Oryzias latipes: one gene and its partner. The protein of the gene in region 1 purifies or fractionates together with the protein of each later gene. This does not show direct contact. Links are inferred from orthologs where the notes say so. Each region holds a gene or a part of one and is shown on either strand. Other genes may lie near its edges. The genes, in order: mvp and cop1.

Region 1 (4,374 bases):
ACGGATCGGTTCTGTTGTCCTGATCCAGACCTTTGAACTAACACCCCCACCCCCCCATAGCCTGACCTCTGGACACAGACTACTCCAGAAGATCAATGGGGGGTTGGATGGGAAAGGGGATTTAGCATGGACCGGTATGGACCGGTAATGTTCTTCATTCCTGCTCCTCAAAACCTCTCGGTTCTGATCTGCTCAGTGTCTGGGTTTTGGTGGGGGGGTGTTACCTGTGACTCTTTGGACGCCGCCCCGGTCTTTGCCCTCTTTGCGGGCTCTCAGTCGGATGGCCTGGTTCTCCCGGATCACGGTGGCCTTGATGGTCTCCAGAACCACCACCTCCTTCCTGGGAATGTAGGTCCCTGAAGCCAACAGAGGAACCGGGAACACGTCAAACGGCGTTCCCGCACAGCCGGACGTTTCCCTCCGCTGCACCTCCACCCAAACCAACCTCTGAAGACTTTGGCGGCCCTTTGGCGCCGGAGTTTCAGCGCCGCTGTTGACCTTCTTTCAACAATTAACGGGAATCCGCAGATTGTGAGGCTAAAGCGGCGTCACGCCGTTACTTTACCGCAGTAATGTGTGACATAACAATAAGACGAGCCGCTTTCTCCACGACACAAAGGCTCACAGACCGTCATGTCAGAGAGCGTGTTTTAGGCGTGGCCGGCGGCAGCTCTGGTGTTAAAGGGTTCAATACAGAGTAGATGTGGGCGGGGTCACAACTCTTCCTTTGACTCCTCAAACTACAGGAGCAAAACCAGCAAAAGTCCTTTTGATACAGAAACCGGACTGTAGAATCCTGGAGCGGTGAAACCTCAGGAATCAAACCCACGCTGCGCACACAGACCAGACGTACCGGGACCCTCAAACAGCCACTCGTCTCCAGCGACCCGTTTCAGTCCCTCGTCGTCCTCAAAGTCCAGCAGAGCCTGCAGACGCAGCGCCGTGTCCGGGTAGACGATCTGCAGCGGCGTCACGGCCTGAAAGCAGAGGGCGGAGGTGAAAGCGGGTCCGGGTCGGTTCTGCTGTTCAGGGGGGGGTTGCTCACCTGCTTGACCTCCTCCCCCGGGTACAGCGGGAAGGGGTCTTGGGTGAGCCGGATCTCCAGGTCCGCGTGCCGTAGCTTGGCCTGTCCGGACTGGTCGAAGAGGACCTGGTTGTCGTCGTCGCGGGCCACGGGGTTGGACACCACGCAGAAGTGGCGGGGCGGAACCATGATCATCCGGACCGGCAGGAAGAGAACTCTGAGCAGAACCACAGCAGACGCTCATGTAACCGTCACACCCACCCAGACGGCCAGCAGGGGGCGCTTACTGACTTCTCATTGTCTTGGCGGATGTAGGTGAGAGGTCCGATCTCCACGCGGGCGATGTTGGTGTTCTGGTCCAGGACGTGGATGTAGTGGTGGGGGGGGATCCGGATGATGGACGGTTCCGTCTGCTTCTCCATCCTGGTTGGTTGGTTGACTTCAGGTGAGAAACGCTGCGGAGAAAAACACCTTACAGCCACTGGAGCAGGTACGGACCAACGTGCCCCACCCCGAAAGAAGAATTTACCCCCCCACCACCACCACCAGTCTCCTGAACCGCAGGCGGCTTTTGAACCTTTGGTCAGCTGCAGGTAAAGGTGAGGCTCTCAGGTGAACGTTCCTGAAAGACTAAATTAACCTGTGGGGGTGGGGAGTCTCAGAGGAACCGCCTACATCCAGGAGGACAGAACTGACCGACCGTATGGAAATGGTCCTTCCTGTTCAAACACACCTGTCTGACACACCTGAGCTGAGCTTTAACCTCAGGAGCAGTTCTCAGAAAGCCAAACCCCAGAACCAGAACTCTGCTTCAGAACCAGCTCTTATGACCAGAACCTTCCGCTGGATCCCGGATCAGGATCAGTCTGGACTTTGGATTCAAACACGGAAACTTTATATAAAATGCAAAAATCCATAGAATTCGCCCCTGTGACGGAGGAGGGGCCAGATCCCAGGAAGGGTCACGTGACCCAATTCTTCGAAAACAGGGTGCAGAAACAGAGCGCGTGCAGACCAGGCGCGTGCGGACCGAGCGCGTGCGGACTGAAATAGTCGTTTCTGCTTTAAGGAGTTTCAGGTAAAGGTTGAACTTCTCCTTCAGTCTTTCCGCTAATGTGGATGAAGGCTGAGGCTCCGCCCCCTATGGTCAGTTCTGATGACCCAGTCAGAAACTGGACCCAAAGTTTGGTTCTGCTCCTCTTTAGTCCGTCTGCGTTCACTGAAGTGAACCGAACCGAGTTCATCTGCAGGAGAACAGAGGCATTTATTCTCCAGAGAACCAGAGTTCCGATTGGTCCAAATGGTTCGGGTGAACGTTCACACCTGCAGAACCAGGTGGACCATCAGCGGAAACAGTCCTGGACCGGATCGGACCTGGACCAGACCGGGCCGAAGCTGCAAGAACTTTTCTCGGACCTTCAAGTGAACTTAGAAGAACTTTTAAGTGGTCCGGTTCTTCCTGCAGGTTCTGCAGAACCGTCAGGATTAAGAGTCAAGATTACAGAGATAGCTGCGGCGCGTGCACGCGCAGCATTTCCTCAAACACCGTGAGCAGGAACTTCCGGTCCTGAACAGACGTGGGAGTAAAGAACGCTGCGCAGCAACGAAGCGGTTTCAGTTCGAACGGAACCGGACCCGCGAACCAAGCAGAACTTTTCCCTAAAAGCTGCGGCTTCGCTGCGACCGCTCACCTGGCTCGGTTCGCGGTTCTGCGGCTGCTGCTGGTTCCGAGGGTCCGCTGTCCGGTCCGGATCGTCGGAGACTGACAGCTGAACAAGCGCAGAGTTTGTCTGGAGCAGTGGGCGTGGCTGCTGCGCAAGAGGAGCAGCTGTGACGTCATTTACAGACAAGCTACCCTGAGTCATCGTGCGCATGCGCATTTACTAAAGTGTATCATCCATGTTTGGATGGAAACTTCAGTTGTTTGGAAAGAAAAAGTTAAAGTTTTCAGGCAAATTTATAACAGAATCTAAACAAAATCAGTCAGTTCAGAAAAAGAAAACATGTTTGACTGAAATGATCATCTTCTCTTCTGGGGTTTGTCCTCCACGTCTTGGGATCCGTCCTGAAGGTGGATCAGGGTGGATCCGGTCCGAGTTTTATTCCTTCGAACCATCGAAGGAATAAAACGTAGGACGCTGCCGTCCTCTGAGCTCCTCACGGATCCCAGGAAATCGGGTCAATTCTGTTCTAAACAGGCGCCGGATCCTCCAGAACCAGGACAGTTCCTGTAAGACAGACCTGCTCAGTTCTGGTCCTCCAGATCTCCAAGCCCCGCTGATGAGCTCGGTCGGATGTCTCCGGGTTCTGATTGAAGGAACACACCTGGTCCAGGTAATCGTGCAGGGAGAGCTGGAAACAGAACCAGGAAGGAGCAGCCCTGCTGACCCACAAAGTTCTCCTCTCAGAGCAGACGGAACGCGCTGGTTCTACTCCACGTCGCAGGAAAACTGGTTCTTCTCAGAGGAACCGCACCAGAACCACGTCACGGCGGGTCTGTCGGCTCTACAGAACAGTTCCAGTAAAGTCGAGGAGAAGCTGGTCTGTTGCATCCAGAACCTCATCCGGTCAGGAAGTTCTGCCTGCATTTGGATCCGGAAACCCGTCAGAGTTTCTGCAGGAAAAGGATCCCAGGTTCTGGATGAACAGGCTGGTTCTTCTGGAGATCGGAGCTTCTTCCTTTACAGTTCCTGAAACAGGAGGCTGCTTCAGAAATAAACGTTCCTTAAAACGTTCTCCTCCTGAAACATCCAGAACATTTCTGCTCCAAAGACGCTGGAAGTATTTTCCTCACTTTAGTTGGTCTTCATCTGACTGATCTAGCAGCTTTTTGTAGCATTCCCATGAATCCTGCTGTTTTTGAAAGCTCTAAAATGAACTTTAGCAGCTTCTCCAGGTTTGTCATCTTTAGATGATTTAGCTTTAAAGAACAGACCTTAATGATCCTTTTTGGAGGATTTTATGTCATCGTTATGGAGTTTATCTTTGAGGCCTGCAGGGTGAAACATCCCAGAAAAGCAACATCAGATTCTAATTCTTTATTTAAATGAGCTTTAATTCATTAAATACATAAAGGAAATCCTCAATAGTTTGGAGGCTTGAACTTCTGATTAGGAATCTCTGTGCGCCCTCTGCTGGACAGCTGTGGAAACAACACTCCTGTGTCCGCCCTTCTCTTGAAAGAAAGACCACCTTTAACATGTAAATGTATATTCAGCTTAAGGTTAACTTGCATTTCTTACATTAAAGAAAACAAAAGAAGAACAGCTGTTCACTGCTTCCTCTTTCAAAAAAAAAGCAGCAGGAAGTGTTGTTTGATCTCAGATTTACAGTTCAGTCAAACTCTTTCT
Region 2 (4,551 bases), on another chromosome or scaffold:
ACATCAGATTGACATTTGCCAGATCCAGGTTTTCCTGATCAGGACTCAAAACATCCTGGAAGACCTGCCACCGAGAACCGTTCTACCATGTGGACGACAACGCAGAAACACAGAGAAGTCACTGGCAGGTTGGAAAATACCAGAAAAACAAAAACAGAAATAAAGGCATTTATGAAATGTACTTACAGGATGGTCTAATTTTAGCCTCTTCTCCTCTGATCTTTGCTTGTGTTTAAGGATCAGCTCGTTTACTAGAGTAAAGGGTTGGGATAGGTAAGAACACAGCAAACACAGCAAAGTGTGTCAAGGATGTTCAAAGTGAACACTGTGAACTTCACCTATGAATCGGACATCATTTGATCTAATTAGATAACAACCAGGGATGTCACAATTCTCGATCAAAAACTATGTTACACCATTAAACCAAAGGAACGAGAATCGTTGCATCTCTACTGTAAACCAGTATGTTAAAGTTCAAAGTTGGGCTTAAATTTAAAGTCCCACTCCAGTGAAAATCATGCTTTTGGTGTTCATTTTCCTCATGAATGGAGGATATTCCTAACTAAAAATGAAGCATTTCCCAATATGTCTTTATTCTTTAAATCGTTGAGATTTAGGAGCAGAAAAAAACGTTCCCATTTGAAAAAGCTTGTAGTTATAATGTCAAAATCTTCAATCGATGGGCCCAAAGCTCCTTACTCTGCTCCTTTCTGATGAACGAACTGGTAAATGACTAAATCCATGTACAGATGTGTCTTTGCCTCTTCTGAGCTGGCATCTGGCTCAAAACTGTACGCTAGCTTACTGCTGTGAGCTAGCGGGAGAATTTGTAAAGAAAAGCCTGAAGGGAAGTGTTGCAGCTTACACCAGGCCAACGGTCCCGCCCACAACTAGGAGGCAGATTTCTGATGAACTACTGCAGTTCTGCAGAAACTATGTCCTAGAAAACGACAGTTTTTTGTGTGGCTAAAACGGCATAATCGTAATTAAAAGACGATTTTACACGGCATCAAAAGATGATTGAAGTGGGACTTTTGCATAATCATGGGGAGAGAGAATCATTGTATCCCTACTGTATACCAGTTTATTTATGTGATAAATTTAAGAAGAATTTTGAATGTAATGTTTTCTTAGATTAGCCTGGAGTTAGTTTGAGTTTGATAATTTTTTTTAGCAAATTAAAAAGACAGCTTTTTTTAGTATTATTAGTTTTTTGTTGTCAGTTTGTAATACACAAATTATACATTGAACCGAAACAAAACTGTGATCCAAAATTGCAGTTTGAGCCCAATCATTGGTTAAGTGAATCAACGCATTCCTAATAACCACCAATAATTGAGAGATCCATTAATCCACCCATCCTTTTTTTTAACCCACTGTATCCCTTTCGGGGTCACGGGGTGGCTGGAGCATGTCCTGGCTACTGTTGGGCCAAGTTTGCCATACAATCAGCCCAACACACATGCACACCAATGGACAATTAAGAGAGTAACCAATGTAGCCTAAAACCTATGACGCATGTTTATGGACTGTGGGAGGAAGCCGGAGAAAACCCACACGTGCACGGGGAGAACATGCAAACTCAACACAAAAAAGTTTCGAAAAACAAGTCTTCAAACAGACTTCAACAGGTGGTGAAGCGCAACACCAACTCACAATACCCACCTAAAAAGTTTGGGAACAGCTGATCCACATTATCAACAATATAGTTACACTTGGGACATCTGTTGCTGTCTTCCAAGCTCTGGCGGATACACTTGTAACTGCAAGAGGGGTAAAAAGCAAAAGAGGAATACTTGAAAACATTCCCCAACTGTGCAACAAACTTCAAGCAATAAAACTATCAAAGTAGTATTTTGGTTGCAGCTGACAAATTTAAATTTGTAGTGCTGTAAATATGTGAGGGGGAGTTGATTAATTTTTTTGTCTTCCAAAACATAAAACTAGAATGTTTAACATTTTGAAAATATTTCCTTTTTACACAGCTATCTTGATCAGCAAGTTCAACACACTGACTGACAAACTGTCCATTCATGTACAATGAACCCTTACCAGAAACTGTGTCCACACTTGGTCATGTGCGCCTCCTCTATCATTTCGAAGCAAATGGGACTGAAATTGTTTTGACAGAAAAACCATGTAAAACATTTGGACATCAACATTTCAAAATCCACCGTTTGGAGTGGGAATCTTAAAGCACAGTTTGAAATAATTCCTGGAAAAAAACTAACCAGACAAAATCGTTGCTTTTATCTTCATAAGAATTCAAGAGGCCGTTGTATAAGGGTGCCTGGTGAAGGGATTTCCTTCTGTTGCCTGAGGACGCAGAGGGTCTGTTGAGGGAAGCAAAGCCGCCCCGGGACGACGGTACAGTGGCCAGAGAGGGCACAGACGAGCCCCCCTCTCCGGCTGCGGGCAGAGTCCGGGAGGGCACAACATTTCCAGAATTGTTCCCATTGCTTGTTACGGCGTTGCTCGCATTGCCGCTGCTGCTATTGCTGGTGCTGGGTACTGAACTCGCGCCACCACCGCCGCCTTGTTGTTGCGTCCGACTGCTTGACATGATGCAACAAAAAACTCATCCAAAAACTCGCTGCACTTCAAAGCATCCAGAGCGCTGCTTATTCGCTCCTTCAGATTTGCAAGCTAGCTGGCTTGCTTATCATGCGCTAGCATCCTCGGTGGAAGGAACAGCGTCAAAAACATATAGTGTGATTAAACTTGTCCGTCGGTGGGTACCTAGCACTTATCACCGGCAACGTTTTATAAAGTCGCTTGATTATAAGGTGTGAAAAAAAAGAGGCAATAAAGAAAACTGGGATTAAAATAACTTCAAACTGCGTTGTCCAGGAGATTAGCCGGTTGGCGACTGTTAGCAGCAGAGAGTGATCCGCTGGGCTTCTTCTACCACCCAGATGCGTATTGTGCTCTGGTGTTTCGCACCTTCACTGCCCCCTAGCGGAGGGGCGGTTCATAGACATATATTACATCTGTTAAAAACCTTAAAACGCACATATTATTAATAATAATATTGTGTTAACCAAGAGTCAAAAACAATAAAAATAATAATAAATAAAAATACCAATTATCAGACTATTAATTTGTGCTTTTATTAGTGGGAATAAATGACAATTTCTAATAATATAGATGATTATTTTCATTAAAAGAATGATACATTGGTGGGAACCCATTTACTAATCAACACATTCAGTTAAAAATATAAAACTAATGAAAAGGGGGAAAAATGATAAAAAAAATCACTCCGAACTGATTTAAGCATTTTTACATTGGGCTTAAAAATGAAGTGGTACCTATTCTTATTTATTAAAGGAAACTCTTTAAATATCAGTGTACTACTACAAATTCCAGGTAAATACTGCCTATGTATTTTGCTTTGACTGTTGTTCAAAAATCTGATTTAAAGGGACCTTAATGTAATTAAATCATGTTTGTTTTCTTTGAAAGCGGGTGTTTTTTGTTTGGATTACATTTTTCATTCATCTCTTACAGATCCAGGGTATCCTTTATTGAATTACCTGCACAGAAACAAGCAGGTAGGTCACTTTAAAAAAAGGTGCTACTGGTGACAGAGCCAAGACATACAGGGTTGTGTCTGTCAACCATCCACCTGCAGCTCTGCAAATAAAACCCAAGCAGCACTAACATATTCCCACTCAAAGTTTATCCAGCCTGCTCCTTGCTTTTCCATCTTTACCTCCATGTGAACAAATAAGGGGGGGGGGGGGGGGGGTCCTCTGCTCAGGCACAGATTTTCCCATGTTTTTGTTTGTGGAAGAGGTCTACATGTATCCATAAGTGGCTCAGTTAGACCATGAAATAAGGTTTTCAGCTAGAGGAAAGTTACCAATTCGTTAAATAAATACATGAATTACACTGAAAAGAACCAGCGATAAAAAATATGTTTTCTGGGCCTCTAATAAATGCTTTTGAAAGTGCAGATCGGAGGCAAAAAACAGATCATTAAAGACGGGCTGCCCATGAAATCCGGGAGTTACTTATGAGGTGAGAGAAACCAAAAGTGTGTGCACCTTAAGTTCTTCACTCGTTGGGCAAAACACCTGCAGCATATATTGTGTTTGCATCCCCCCCAGCACAGCTCCTTCTCCCCTTTGTATCTAATACTGTTTTTTCTGAAAGGCTTGCCCTCTTTCTTTCTCCCTTTTTTTTCTTCTTTTTCTTCCCCCCACCTCGTTTGTGCTGCACATCAGCCTAGATTTTCTCCTTTTGGGTCCCCCCAATTTTTTTTGAACGAGGATTGTGCGTGTTCTGGGTGAATGTGTGTGGCTGTGTCAACGGGGTACAGCTGGATGTTACAGGGGAACAGAGAGGTAAGAGGGGAAACAGGGAGGGGGGTGATGCGTATGAAAGGAGAGGGAAAAACAGGGGGGCAGGCCGAGAGCGGGCCTCAGGGTTGTTGAGGTCAAGACGGACAAACTCAGATGAAGGATAATCTGTGGAGGTCCTTTGCAGTGGGGGGTGAGGCCCCGGAGGAGCCCGCCCATTCAGCCGCTCACACTCTTCCAGACACCA

What was found.
Region 2: the proteins of mvp (region 1) and cop1 purify together in Homo sapiens (affinity purification with mass spectrometry; 3 studies listed by BioGRID and IntAct, with this or other methods). This does not show direct contact. The link is inferred for Oryzias latipes from reciprocal best matches to the Homo sapiens genes MVP and COP1.

The regions. Positions count from the first base shown.
Region 1 is NC_019866.2:564,079-568,452, reverse strand, and holds the start of mvp (major vault protein), read right to left. Parts: upstream 2,905-4,374; coding exon 2,716-2,904; intron 1,480-2,715; coding exon 1,316-1,479; intron 1,242-1,315; coding exon 1,046-1,241; intron 978-1,045; coding exon 854-977; intron 357-853; coding exon 225-356; intron 1-224. UniProt on the Homo sapiens protein: Required for normal vault structure. Vaults are multi-subunit structures that may act as scaffolds for proteins involved in signal transduction. Vaults may also play a role in nucleo-cytoplasmic transport.
Region 2 is NC_019875.2:19,758,515-19,763,065, forward strand, and holds the start of cop1 (E3 ubiquitin-protein ligase RFWD2), read right to left. Parts: upstream 2,918-4,551; 5' UTR 2,564-2,917; coding exon 2,232-2,563; intron 2,113-2,231; coding exon 2,053-2,112; intron 1,764-2,052; coding exon 1,666-1,763; intron 252-1,665; coding exon 187-251; intron 83-186; coding exon 1-82. UniProt on the Homo sapiens protein: E3 ubiquitin-protein ligase that mediates ubiquitination and subsequent proteasomal degradation of target proteins.